Linked DNA regions of Ovis aries. The protein of the gene in region 2 binds, or shares a complex with, the protein of the main gene of each other region. Links are inferred from orthologs where the notes say so. Each region holds a gene or a part of one and is shown on either strand. Other genes may lie near its edges.

Evidence for each region. Proteins that work in one complex are often made in the same cells at the same time.
Region 1: the proteins of DIAPH1 (region 2) and PFN2 are in contact, whole or in part, in a crystal structure (PDB 2V8F), measured with the Mus musculus proteins. The link is inferred for Ovis aries from reciprocal best matches to the Homo sapiens genes DIAPH1 and PFN2. Residues at the interface, in NP_031884.1 of Mus musculus: Ile635, Pro636, Pro637, Pro638, Pro639, Pro640, Leu641; in NP_062283.1 of Mus musculus: Ala2, Gly3, Trp4, Ser6, Tyr7, Asn10, Ala28, Tyr30, Trp32, Arg108, Met131, Tyr134, Leu135, Ser138, Phe140.
Region 3: the proteins of DIAPH1 (region 2) and PPFIA3 are in contact, whole or in part, in a crystal structure (PDB 4UWX), measured with the Mus musculus proteins. The link is inferred for Ovis aries from reciprocal best matches to the Homo sapiens genes DIAPH1 and PPFIA3. Residues at the interface, in NP_031884.1 of Mus musculus: Lys252, Ser255, Ala256, Ile259, Gln307, Asn310, Ala311, Thr314, Pro315, Ala316, Glu317, Arg322, Gln352, Cys354, Val355, Glu358, Gln359, Glu362; in NP_084017.2 of Mus musculus: Pro719, Arg720, Arg723, Leu724, Arg726, Met727, Ala728, Ala730, Leu731.

The regions. Positions count from the first base shown.
Region 1 is NC_056054.1:238,933,187-238,937,360, reverse strand, and holds the start of PFN2 (profilin-2), read right to left. Parts: upstream 2,853-4,174; 5' UTR 2,821-2,852; coding exon 2,689-2,820; intron 572-2,688; coding exon 275-571; 3' UTR 1-274. UniProt on the Homo sapiens protein: Binds to actin and affects the structure of the cytoskeleton. At high concentrations, profilin prevents the polymerization of actin, whereas it enhances it at low concentrations. By binding to PIP2, it inhibits the formation of IP3 and DG.
Region 2 is NC_056058.1:50,368,678-50,372,927, reverse strand, and holds the start of DIAPH1 (protein diaphanous homolog 1), read left to right. Parts: upstream 1-1,424; 5' UTR 1,425-1,555; coding exon 1,556-1,672; intron 1,673-4,250. UniProt on the Homo sapiens protein: Actin nucleation and elongation factor required for the assembly of F-actin structures, such as actin cables and stress fibers. Binds to the barbed end of the actin filament and slows down actin polymerization and depolymerization.
Region 3 is NC_056067.1:55,370,225-55,374,523, forward strand, and holds the start of PPFIA3 (liprin-alpha-3), read left to right. Parts: upstream 1-1,447; 5' UTR 1,448-1,721; intron 1,722-2,279; exon of another isoform or gene 2,280-4,299. Other genes in the region: LIN7B (protein lin-7 homolog B), read left to right, coding at 1-28, 375-396. UniProt on the Homo sapiens protein: May regulate the disassembly of focal adhesions. May localize receptor-like tyrosine phosphatases type 2A at specific sites on the plasma membrane, possibly regulating their interaction with the extracellular environment and their association with substrates.

The DNA of each region.
Region 1 (4,174 bases), on a different chromosome or scaffold from region 2:
AGTTGAGGAACAAAGTGATTTTATTTTTTAACTTTTTACTTTATATTATAGTTGATTAACTTAATTTCAAGTGTAAAGTGGTTCAGTTATACATACAGAAGAGACAAATTTAGACTTTCAGTTTACTAAAGCTGGAACTGAAGAACTGATATTAATATTCTATTTTCAGCATAAAGTCAGGATCTCAGAGGTGAGGCTGTATATGCAGCTGCTGTAGAGCAAATGAATCTAAAGCAGTGCCTCCTTCAGTGCTCGGCAGTTCACAAAAACCACCTTAATAGCCATTATGGACTAACACTTTATTCAAAATGTTAAAGAAACTGCTGAATAAGTTGTAATGTGACTTGCAACTATTAACCAAAAGGGTACTGTACTCACCTCTACCAGCTCTGCCGACGGCAACGTTGTATGTTGGCTCCCCACCTTGACTCTTTGTCCGGATGTCCATTGTGCAGTCACCATCCACGTATAGGCTATCTCTGATCACTGAGCACTTCTTTGCACCAAGAGTCAAACCATTGGTAAAGAAACCTTCCCGGTCTTTTCCTACAATCATATCTATTTCTACTGGCTGCCCCCGCCCCCAACCACAAAAAAAAAAAAAAAAAAAAGAGAGAGAGAGAGAGAAAACAAAACAAAAAGTTTTAGTTAATTTCTTGTCCTGGTATAACAGGAAAAGTGTCAAGTTTGTACTACCACTACAAGACATCCACATTTCATTAATGTAAAACCAAGTTTCAGTCATTTCTAAAAAATAACTTAATCTTAAACGGGATGACATTTTATATCAGTTAGATTTCACAGTTAAGAGAGTGGTCTGTTAACTAAGCCCAGTCTATGCAAAGAATCTCCAGTTAGTAGATGACACTAGATAAACTACAAACTTAAGAGTTATTTATAAACTTGTTTCAAGTCAGGTGGTACCCGAAGTGCTTATGTAATGGTAAAGATTCACCCAGAAACTTTCAACAAAATCTTACCTATCACAATCACGTAACAGTCTTGTCATATCAAACTTAAAGTTGTTTGAAAGTCTCCTGGAACAAAGCCCATGCTTGGCAGATCTGGTTACATCTACTCTGCTTCAAATAGCTTGACATACCCCCCTAGTATGAACTTCAAGCCCTGAATCTCAGCGCATCCCCAAATTCATATTTCCCTCCTCTTTTATTTTCGCTGCTACTCCCTCTCCAACTTTCCTTCCCCTCCCTCCTAAGTAATCAGTTTTCTTTCTGGGCAAATGCAAAGAGGATTCTGTCTGTAGCGCTGCAATAAGCAACCATAAAAGAACAGAGAAAATGGAGGGAGAGTGGGAAAGAAACTGAGGTAGCGACCAGAACCGGAAAGGAGAAAACGTGCATTCTAACATTCCATGAATAAGAAGGAAGGCGTCGCCCCCATCAGAACTGCAGAGTCATAGCAGGCCCCAGCCATTTCCAAGCACACTCCCGCAATCTTCCCAGCCAAACAGCGGGAACTCACACACAAAGACAAGAGGACTGCAGGAAAAAAGTTGATCGCCAGACGGCAATTCTCTGTAAGATTTGTAGTCCACTGCGGCAACAGAGAGCCGGAAAGTACCTGGATCAGGAGTTCTACACAGTTAGACCTTAAACATGTTAAGCAGTACAAGAATAATTAGTAGCACCCATAGTAAAGGGGCCTGAATTTTGGCATTTGATAGGAAGGGGGCGTGAAGCGTAGGAAATTAAGAGAATGGTCCTGTATTTGATATAATGTCACCATTTTAGACCCTTGTGCAGAAAGAGGCAAAACAATAAAGCAGCACTGGAGGGCTTATTGACAGTTATTCCCCAAACATGTGGCAACCGAGTCAAACCACCAAGTCACAAGAAAATCAGGCACCGGGAAGCATTAATCTGCATTAGTTCCCTTACGAAGATCACTAAAGAGGGAGGGACTTGGAGAACTGAACATCCCCTCGGTCTTCGCAGATTATTGAAAGCCCCAAGCACCCCCTTTTTTTAGAACTCTGTTGCGTAACTGGGGATAACGGTATATCGATGAATCTCCATAGGAAAGAAATCAATGGCAGATCGCCATCTTGGAGAATTAAAAAAAAAAAAAAAATCCTATGGAGCCAGAGATTCACGAATCCACCTACGTTGTCTGCGTTCATTTCTCGCAAGCCCAAGAGGCCTGGACACCGGCAAATCTACGCCAAGTGGCCGCGAGGATCCTGGGGGCCGGGCAGCCGCCGCCTCCCACAGCTCGCGGCGCGGGCGGCGCGCCGTCACCGGAGGAGCTAGGGGCGGCTAGACCACCCGAGGACCCGCGCCCCAGCCCGGCTCCTCCGGTCCCCGCTTCCACCCGGGAATGTACAAAGCAAACCTCAGGGCTTCCAGGGGACCCCAGGGCGGGGGCGAGAAAAGGGAAAAGGCCCCCCACCCACGAACCGGTGCGTACCCCCTCCCCCAGCCTCATCCGGACAAGCTGTGGGAACGCCGGCGAGCCCGGCCGCCGCCCCCGCCACTCAGCGCAGCCCCTGCGAGGGGGCGTCCCCGGGCCTCGGCCTCTCCGCCCGCCCGGTAGCCGCATCCTCGGCGCCCGCCGCTCCTCACACCTGCCGGCGCGGCCCTGCCCGAGTCCGGCCCCGCGCTGCGGCGCCCCCACGGCCGGCCCCGCATGGGTCCGGGGCCGGGTACCCAGGTCCCCGCCGGTCCTCACCGTAATGCTCTGGAAGACGCCCCCGGCCGTGGCTGCCCAGACGTATTTGGCGTCGCAGTAGCCGACAATGGCGGCCTCCTGGCAGCAGCCATCGCACATCAGGTTATCCACGTAGCTCTGCCAACCGGCCATCTTCGAGCCCTTCGCACTGCAGCGGGGACGGCAAGGAGCAGCAGGCGCAGCGGCGGCGACGGCGGCGGTCGCGGGCGGCGGCGGCGCGGGGGGAGGCGGGGCGGGGGCGGAGAGGAGGCGGCTCTGCGCAAGCACCGACCGCCCCCCTCCCCGAGGAGCTGCGGAGGGAGGACGCGGGGACGGCGGTGAGGGACAAGCCGCGGAGCGCGCCCGGCCCGGCCGCCCTCCCGCCCGCGACCGCGGGGCTGATTAACTAGCGGCGGCAGGCTGCGGAGCGGCAGTGCCGGCGACGGCGCTGGAGACTACTCCTCACTGTGGCTCCCTTAGCTCTCCGCCGTTCCGGCGGGGCGTGCGCGCGCGCGTGCGTGCGATCCTTCCGCGGCGCCCTGACTCTGAGGGTCCCGAGAAGGGAGGGGGAGACTGAGCGGGGGCGCGGCCGCGGAGGGATACTGCCCGGGGCAATCACGGCGCCACGTGCGGCCGGCGAGGTCTGAGTGAGGCGGGTGGTTGAGGGTGGCTGAGCCTCGGACCCCGGGCCTACGGAGAGGGCGTCTCTCGAGTTGCACTCAGTACCCCTGGGACGGCGGCGTCTGGGGAGCCTCGGAGTCCCCGCGTCCGGGCTGTGAAACGCCTCGGTCCTGCGGCCGGCGGCTCGGGATGCGGAATCTTGCGCCTCGGTGTCGGATTGCAGAGTTGCCCTGGTGACGGGATGCGGAGCGTTAACTCCTCTTTGTGGTCCCGGCGGGCGGGTAGCAGAGTCGGCCACTGTCATCTTAGGCATCCTCAGTGGGACCCTCTTCTCTGGACCTCTCGGCCACAAAGGCTACCAGGCGGGCGCACTCCAGCAATCTGAAATCAGAGTGGCATTCTTGGCTTTCAGGAACATTTCTGAGCTTTGCTGGTCTTTCATTGTTGCTTCATTTGGGTACCAAAGGCCTCTCATTGTGTGGGTTCCTTGATAGGAAGATCCTCTCTTCCCCTGTCTTAAAGCGGCTAAATTGCTCGTAAATTCCGAAGGAAACAAATAGCTAGCAATGTAAAACTATTGGTTGGTAACGGAATATTACTGGTGGGTCGAAGAAATCTGAATATATAAAGAATTTAAAAATCTAAGAACGGGTTCGTTGTATGAACATGTTAGTATTTCTACTCTCAAAAGCTAAACTAATTTCGGGACCCAGATCGGAGAATGGCTTGTATTTAGGTGGTAAAACATGGGTAGAGTCCCTGTGAATATTGCGTGGTCTTTAGTAACCGCTGGGCGTTATGACTATGCAAAGGATTAGGAGACTTCCCACAATTTCGATTTTAAATGAACTAAACGATCTGTCAGTGAAGGGAAGAGAGCGTCTCA
Region 2 (4,250 bases):
AAGGTCAGATTTAGGAGCCAGCAGTTTTGGCAGACTCCTTGTAACATACCAGACCCTAGATTGAGCGCTGGCGGCTCCCTAGTGAGTCACTGGCTGTCCTCCAGGAACATGCAGTTGAAGTCTTTTGCTGGTTGTGAGCAAGATAATTAAGTCCAGAGTTTGAAGGCCTACTGGGTGCCACATACTGTTCATACAAAGGACCAGATGTATTTGGGAGAATAGAGGAAATTGGTGAGAAAAGAATCAAGTGAGTAGAGCAAAGAACACACTTTTGGAGAATGCCTGTTCTTTTCACTCAGTTTGGGTTATGTTAATTCAGTTGAGTTCAGTTGCTCAGTCGTGTCCAACTCTTTGGGACCCCATGGACTGCAGCATCCCTGTCCATCACCAACTCCAGAGCCTACTCAAACTCATGTTAATCGAGTCAGTAATGCCATCCAACCATCTTATCTTCTGTCATCCCCTTCTCCTTCTGCCTTCAGTTTTTCCCAGCATCAGGGTCTTTTCTTTTCTCCCAGCATCAGGGTCTTTTCTTCATGAAAAGAAAGAACTGAGTCAGTTCTTCATGTCAGTAGGGAATCCTTTTTAAACACAGGGCTTGGCAATCAGACCAACCTGGTTTTATTTTTTTTGGTCAATTATGTGTCCTTGGGTAAGTCACTTCAATTGTCGTTGTACAGATTTCCTGTCCTTAAAATGGTGAGACTAGTGGAATCTGTCACATGCCATTGTGGAGATTCAGTAAGAAAATACACGTCATGTTTTTGCAAAGGGTCTGGCATAGAACAAGTGTATGGTAAATGGTTAACTATTATTAAGTTTCAGGCACAGCAGTGGCAATAACTAGTTTTCCCAGATTAGGAACGTGGAACGTAGTAGACCTGGAATTTAGAACTAGGTAATTGAACTCCAGAGCAGGTAGAGTTTGCTCTAGCACTGGCCCTGAACCAAGCTCTGTTCTTGGCACATAAATGGTAGCTATCACTTTATTTTTTCGTGTGCTCCGTGGGTATTGAACACATAAAAACTATTATCCGGGAAAGCTTGGCACTAAATTTTCTGCCAGGATAAGTCTCTCTCATGCAATTTTTTTGTTCAGATAATAATATCACACTCTGGGGTGTGAGAGGGTCCAGGCTTCACAGCCACGTGGGCACTGCATGGGAGCAGGGAGGCCTGCGCTGCTCCAACCGGCAGGCGGCGCTGTCCCAGAGTTACACCGCCCACTCACCCTCCCCCCCCACCCCTCAACGTGAGTCCAAATGGTTAGGCCCGCCAGGCAGGTAGTGCGCTTCCGCGGCTTTCCTCCACCCTCTCCCTTCCCCCGTTGGTAGGTGCTGCGGGTCCGGGCGGAAGTGGGGCAGGCGGGCGGGAGCAAGGCGTCGCCGTTGTATATTCATGAGGCGCGCGCAGCCCGGCATGCTAATGAGGCGGGGCGCGGCGGCGGACTGAGAAGCTGCTGGGCGGCGGCGGCGGCGGCGGCGGCAGCGGCGGGCTTGGAGCTGCCGGGCGGGAGCGGCGTGGGCGCGGGGTCACTAGCAACGCAAACCTGGACATGGAGCCGCCCGGCGGGGGCCTGGGACCCGGCCGCGGGACCCGGGACAAGAAGAAGGGCCGGAACCCGGACGAGCTGCCTTCGGCAGGCGGCGACGGCGGCAAATCCAAGAAATTTGTGAGTGTCCCTCCCACCTGGTTCCCTCAGGCTGGCCCCTTAACCGCCCTCAGGACCCCAGAGACCCCCCGCAGCTGGCCCCAGGGGTGCACGCCCGTTTCTAGGGAGCCGCCCCCGCGCCTCCCTTCCTCGTTTTGCTCGATGCTGGGCTCCGAAGCCCGACCTCCGGCCGCTCTGGGACCTCGGGAATCCCCGGAGTCCCACCCGGCTCTTGCCCTGGCAACCTCGGGGCTTTCTTCACCCCTCTTCTCCCCGCCCTCATGTTCTGCCCTTACCCGCGTAGCCCTGGACAGTCTCAGCCCTATCTCTTCCCTCTCAGCCCCACTTCCTTTCTTCTTCCTCCGTTACCCGAACACGCCTTCTCTATCTCTAGCCTCAGTGCTTTTCTGGGTCCGTTTTCTCTTATTACCCTTCCCCCCTTTTTTGGTATCTTCTTATTTGCTTCTCCAAAGGTCACTTCCTTCCCCAGGCTTGATCCCTTTCACCTGCTAACTTTGCTCCCGCCCAGTCCCCTCTCTGGGCCCTCAGCCCGGTGTCACCTGATAATCCTTCCCCTCAGGAATGTTACCTGACTTGGGCCCTACCTTCCCTCTTCCCTTGGACGTTTGTCCTTGTGACTGCAGAAAGGGGTTCCTGCCCAGTTCCTGTGGTCGTTGGGTATGACGGTAGTTGACTTTCCAGTATTTCCCCATCCAGAACACCTGTCTCTTTGCTCTGTTGCTAATCGGTCACTTGTCAGGGGATTGGAACTTCTCTCAAGAATATGCCCTTCTTGACTTAAGAGTGGTGATCACCCTACCCCACGGGGAAGAAGTTGGACTAAAAAGGTCCAGAAGTTTTTGAGTACCTGATTATAACTGTCTTCTGTGCGTTTTCATGATAACAATCTCCTCAGCTCTTCTGCTACCTCCTGTGCTCCAGGGCTACTGATAACCTTTTTCCCGACCTGTAGAAGAGTCGGGTTTTCCTCAGGTGCCAGTTACTTCCAGTCTGAAAGGATATTGGTATTCGTGTAACACCGTGGTATCTTATTATCTTTGCCTACACTGAATGTTGGTTTTTACGCTATCGAGGGAAAGATAGGAGGCGCTGTCCAAGATAGGGCGTCTTGGATCTTAATAACCTTTCCTAACTAGTTTTGTAGTCTCTCCCAGGTAATTAACTCCGCGCCTCGGTGTCTTCTTTCTACTAACCAAATGGTTTCTAACTTTCCCTCTTTCTCTTATCCCCACCCATTAGCATTCTGACGCAGCTCCACAAGTTTGGGAAGAAAACTGAGAAAGTGATGAAAACAGGAAGATAATGTTGCTTTGGGACGTTGAGGGTTGAGATGTGGAGAGTACTGAACAGATTTAAAATAGTGACTCATCTCTTCCTACCTATTTCCATCAAGACAGGTGCTTCTGGACTGTCTTATCCAGTGACTATAGGCTGTCAAGTCAGTGCCTGTTTTTATCTGGTGACTGTCTTTTCCCCCCCAGAAATGTGGGTTTAATAGTAGTGACAACCTTCCCTCACTGGTGATCAAAGCAACATTCTCCTAGGTTTCTTTAGGATAAGCATGACACTCTAGTTAGGGAGCTTTCCTGCGAAGTCTTAAGCTTTAGGGCCCGTGTATCTTCTATTTCTGTATCCTTTTGTTTTGCTTTTGTTTCCATGGGTACTATTTGACCTTACTCACCCGAATTCCAGCTATTTTTGCTGATTTATAGTGACCTTTGTGACTTGTAAATGTTTTTCAAGTTCTAAATGGAATTTTATGTGTGCTTGTTGTATCTAACATGAGTTTCACCAATTTGTGAATTCTGCGAAGTATTTGGGGCTGAACAGTGAGATACCTGAGGAAATTCAACTTCTTTTCACCTGTTTTTTGGAATGTCCATGGAGTCTTGTGTATGCTGAGTGGATTTGGCTCAGAGTTGGTATTTGCTTTAGGGAGGGTGGAGCTGAACCAAGTTCTCTTTTTCTTTTGAGGTGTTTTTCTTAACTCTTAATCTGCTGAATTTTTAGAAAATATGTACACACACAGATAGTGAGAATTGCATTCCTGGCTGAGGGATTGGTAGGTTTCCAGGAAAGTAGTGCTGTTTAACCCCTTTACTGCCAGCTGTACCATACCTCAAGGCTTTACCATAGTCTGTCTTTCTCGTTGCTTTTTATGTAAGAACTCTGTGGAAATGAGAGCCTAGGAGGAGCATTGCAATCCACTTCTCTTTGTGTCTGTGTATGTATATGGGGGTGGTAGAGTGGGCGAGATTGCTGGTTTGCATTTGTTACCCATGGCTTAGTTTCCTTGAACTGTAGGCTAAAAGTGAAGTCAAAAGGGTTTCGCCTACTCCACCTTTTCTAGTGTGTGTCCTCGGGAACTCCATTAAGAATACATTTTATAAAACTGTGCTCGTTTGGACTGAGTGTGCCTGAAGATTATTTGTTTGCATCTGAGGAGTTACTAATCCCTTTAGCTGCTGTATACCTTTCCAAGCTTATGCGGTTCTAAGTGTAGATCAACTGATGAGAAAACAGAACTCACAAGTTACCAAAGATTTGCTCTTTACTCTCTGAGGTAGCTTGTGTGGAA
Region 3 (4,299 bases), on a different chromosome or scaffold from region 2:
GGCGGCGCCAGCAACATCAGAGCTACTCGTGAGCCCTTTGCCACCACACCCCTGGGGCTCCTCTGCCTCCCTCATCCCCAGACTCCCAGACCAGGCCGGTAATTTCTGAGACACTGATTGCCACCCCTAGCCCTGGCTCCTTTCTCTGGGATTCTGACCCTTGACCCCGACTCTCACCCCAAACCATTCTGACTACCTTGGGGGCCCCTACTTAGCTTACTTCCACCCCAAGATGGGGAACCTGCTCTCTCTGGAATCCCTCAACCCACTTCCCTGGGGTCTTGGCTCTGGAACCCCAATCCTGGCTCTCTCTCCCATGCCTACCACTGTCTTCTCCGCTGAGCTTGGCTCCCCTCTCTTCACCCTCCTTTTAGGTCCTTGGAGTCTCGAGGCTGAAACCACAGATCTGGACTCTCACCCCCTCCCCTGTACAGTATTTATTGTCACCAACTCCTTATTTAAAGATCTTTGACCCTCCTTGAGTGTCTGTGTCTGTCCTGCATCCACGGGTTGGAGTGTCTGGAGATGTGGGAGGGAGAGAAGCTGAGGTCGAGACCAGACCCTTTTCAGGGTCTGAGAGCGGAACTTGAGACTTTTCGCCAGGTCCGAAGACAGAGGCTGGCCGGTTTCCCAACCATAAGTCCAGGATGGAGGCTGGGACCTGATCTGGGTCTGAGCGCGGGATCAGAGCTGAAGACAACTCCCCCCTACCCTTCCGAGATTCTGAGGGCGGAAACCAAGCCCCCTTTCTCTATAGCTGGTCTGACAGAGGAGTCCTGAAACGCGCCAGAGTCAGTGGGCGGCCTCTGTGTGGGCGGGGCGGAGCGAACCATTAGCCTAGTCCGCCGGGGGAGCCCTGCCGGCCGCGCAATAGTCTGCGCGAGAGGTGGGGGTGCCACGTGCAGTTTCCGAGGCGGGCTCATGGGGTGCAGAGTAAGGTGCACTCGCCGACCAGGCATTCATCCCACCTTATAACCCGAGCGCGTGTCTCCGGGAGCCGCCCCCATCTTAAAAGCCATCTTTTACTCCCACCTCGCCGCCCGCCCAACCCTCCTGTCCCGTGCGGCGCGAGGGCAGGCGCGCGCCACCGCCGGAATCCGGGGTCGCGACTGGCGTTCCACGCCGCGCGCCACTCGCTCCAGGTGACATCATCCCCATGCCGGGCTCCGCCTCCCGCCCCAGCCGCCTCACGCCGCGTGCCTATTGGCCGACCCGCCTTAGCCCCGCCTCTCGCTCTCCGCCCGCGCGACCCCTCCCAGGCAGTGCGGGGGCGGGGCCTAACCGCCGGCCGGCTTCGACACCGCCTCCCATTGGCCACTCGGCGCCGTCTGTCTGTCTCCTGTTAAAGGGGCCACGACCGCCCCAGCGCTGGTTGCGGGGGGGAGGAGGGAGGAGGAATTTTTTGGCGGGGGAAGGTGGGATTTGGGGGGCGCTGGTGAGCACCCCTAGATCTGGTGGCTGCGGCCTCGCGGGGGGAGGCTGAACGGTGACAGGGGCAGGGGGCTATTTTAGGGGGTAAAGGGCTGTTAGACCGTGAAGGGGAGGGGGACCCCAGCGCCCAAGCCGGAGCAAGAGACGCGGAGCCCGCGCGAGCCGCGGAGACTGGGCTCCAGAGCTACAGATCCGGGCCCCGGCCGCCGCCAGGGGCCCCGCCCGGTCCCCCCACCCCACCCCCACGTCCCTCCTGCAGCCCAGCTCCGCCCGCAGCCGCCGCGGACCAGGTAGGTAAGAGCCCAGCCCGGCCCGCCTGGCAGCGCCCACCCGGGGGACCCCTCGCCGAGCTTCCCCCGCCTCTCCGAGAACCTGGATTCTCTTCTCCTCCGAGGACCTCACAGCCCAGATTTCACAGCCCGACCCCAGAGACTCAGGCGTGTCCCTCCCAGCTCTCAGAGTCACCAACCGAACCCTAGGATCCCAGGCGTACTGCCGCCTTGCGCCTCCTCCAGGGCCCGGGAGCCTTAATTTCCCAGGTCAGCCCCGGGAACCCCCTCTGGACCAAGATCCTCCTCCTCGGCCCAGTCCTGGGAGATCGACACCGACCAAGGCTGTGTCAGACTCCCCCAGCTAGAGCCGCCGGCCCCCCCTCCCTCGGTCGCGTCGGCATAGTCCCCCATTCGGGGACCCAGTCAGCCCATCTCCGGTCCTCCGGCTTGTACAGCCGGCCGAGTCCCTCGGTCCAGGCCGGCTCAGCGGCCGCCCTGGACACAGGCCCGCTCTGGAGCTGTCCATGGTCACCATTCTCGGCAGCCTTGTCTCCCCCACCTCCCGCTGCCGCCGCCGGGGAGGGGGCGCCGGCGGCGCGGGGATCCCCCTCGCCGCGCCTTTGACCCGGGAATACCCAGGCCCTCCCCGACCTGGGCGCCCGGGCCTCAGGATTCCTCTGGCCAGGCTCTCAGCCCCATCCTCAGCACCCCAGTTGCGGTGACCCCAGCTGCTATTTGAGGAGTCGTGGCTTCTGAATGTTCTTGCCTGGTCCACCTTAGGGATCTTGGAATCCGAGGATCCAGATCCTACCCGGGTCTGGAAGCCTTGTCAGTCCTCACTTCCTCTGGCTAGAGGCCCCAGCTGGTAGCCTTCACCACTCCAGGAAGGAATCCAGTTTCCCAGCCTTTGCCCCTTTAGAGACCCAGTTCAAAGCCCTGTTCCCCTGCAATAAATATACCCAGCCTCCTGGCACCCCAGCATCTGCCCCCTTAGGGATTCAGGCGCCATGATTCCTCCCTTTCAGGGGCTCAGAATGCAATTCTTAATGCAATTCGCTGGCTTCTGCCCGTCCTCCCCGTTGAAGACCTAAATGCCCTGTCCCTGATCCTGTCTCCCCTCAGCGACCCAGGAATTCAGACCCCACCTTCTGTACTGCTCATCAAAGCCATCTACCCCTGCCCTCCCTTCCAACAAGGACTCAGGCTCCAAACTTCCATCTCCTGTCTTTTGCCTCCACAAAGATTCAGGAGTCCAGTTCCTCAACTCTGACCTCCAAAGTATCTAGCTGCTCAGCTGTTACTCTTAGGGACCCAAGTCCCTACAGCCTCACTATTGCCCATCAACTCTGGTGGCCTTGAAAAACCCCTGCCTCATCCCCTTATCAGCTCAGATTTTGGGCTTCCTGGGGTTTCCAATATTTTCCCCTGAGACCCAGGTTCTTGAGATGCTTCCAGCACCCCATCATGATGTTTTCATATCGTGATGCCCCATCCTTCAAGTACATTCTCAGATTGATAAACCGAGCATACATCCCTTTCTCCAGATGTGCTCTGTGACCTAGGTTCATTTCGTGATCTAGAATTGCCTTCCGTATTTCCAACTAAACAGGCACACTGGCAGTGCTTCGTGGAATTATTTCTAAATCCTAGAATATTCTCAGTGAACATCTCTGTTCCTTTTTCACCCAAGGTATGTTCTAAATTCTAGGTTAGATGCTAAATTCGAGTCATGATATTCCCCAGGTAAATTCAAATTTCTGATTAGTGCTCCCAAGCCAAGCTGCCAAGCCCACTTTCCTCCCCTTAGATATGTTCCTTCCTCCCCCCACCACTTTCTCCCCCACAGATCTTAGTTCCCTGACCAGGGATCCAACCCAGGCCCCAGCAGTGAAAGTGCCTAGTCCTAACCACTGGACCGCCAAGTAATTCCTGACATATTCCAATTTTTAAGAAGCCAGTCTTTGCTTATTTTCTTTTAAAATTTCATTTTGGGTGTGTTCTAGGTTCTAGCCACATCCTTGGCAATGTTCTAGATTCTGTTCTTTTCCCAGGGGCATTCTCAGTGCTAGAATGTGTGTGTGTGTTCCATTTATGGGCTGTAGCTTTTCTCCAAACTGCGTTATCAGTTCTAGAATATGTTTCCGCATTTCATTTTATTTATTTTTGGGCTTTGCTGTGAGGTATGGGGGATCTTAGGTCCCCAACCAGGGATCGAACCTACACCCCCTGCAGTGAAACGGCAGAGTCTTGACCACTGGACCACCAGGGAAGTCTCTGAACCTCCCTATTTTATATACCATCCAGTTCTACAGTCTTAAGTCCCCAGGATTACACTGCACCTTCCTTCTTCAGGTTCTGTATTCTAAGCCCATCCATCCCCACCTTCTCTGTCTATCTTTTCCCCCAGTGTGACCTTGGCTCAGAACTTGTCCCCTGGTGGACTGTGGGCTTCTTCCATCTGCCACTTCAGCATTCTAAACATGCTCTAGGCCCTCTCTTGTTCTGGAGTCTTCAGCCTAGAAATGTCCTCATTTCTAGAACACACCACCCCCACCCCCAGCTCCTTTGCCAGCTCAGTCCTTATGCCAGTAAATTC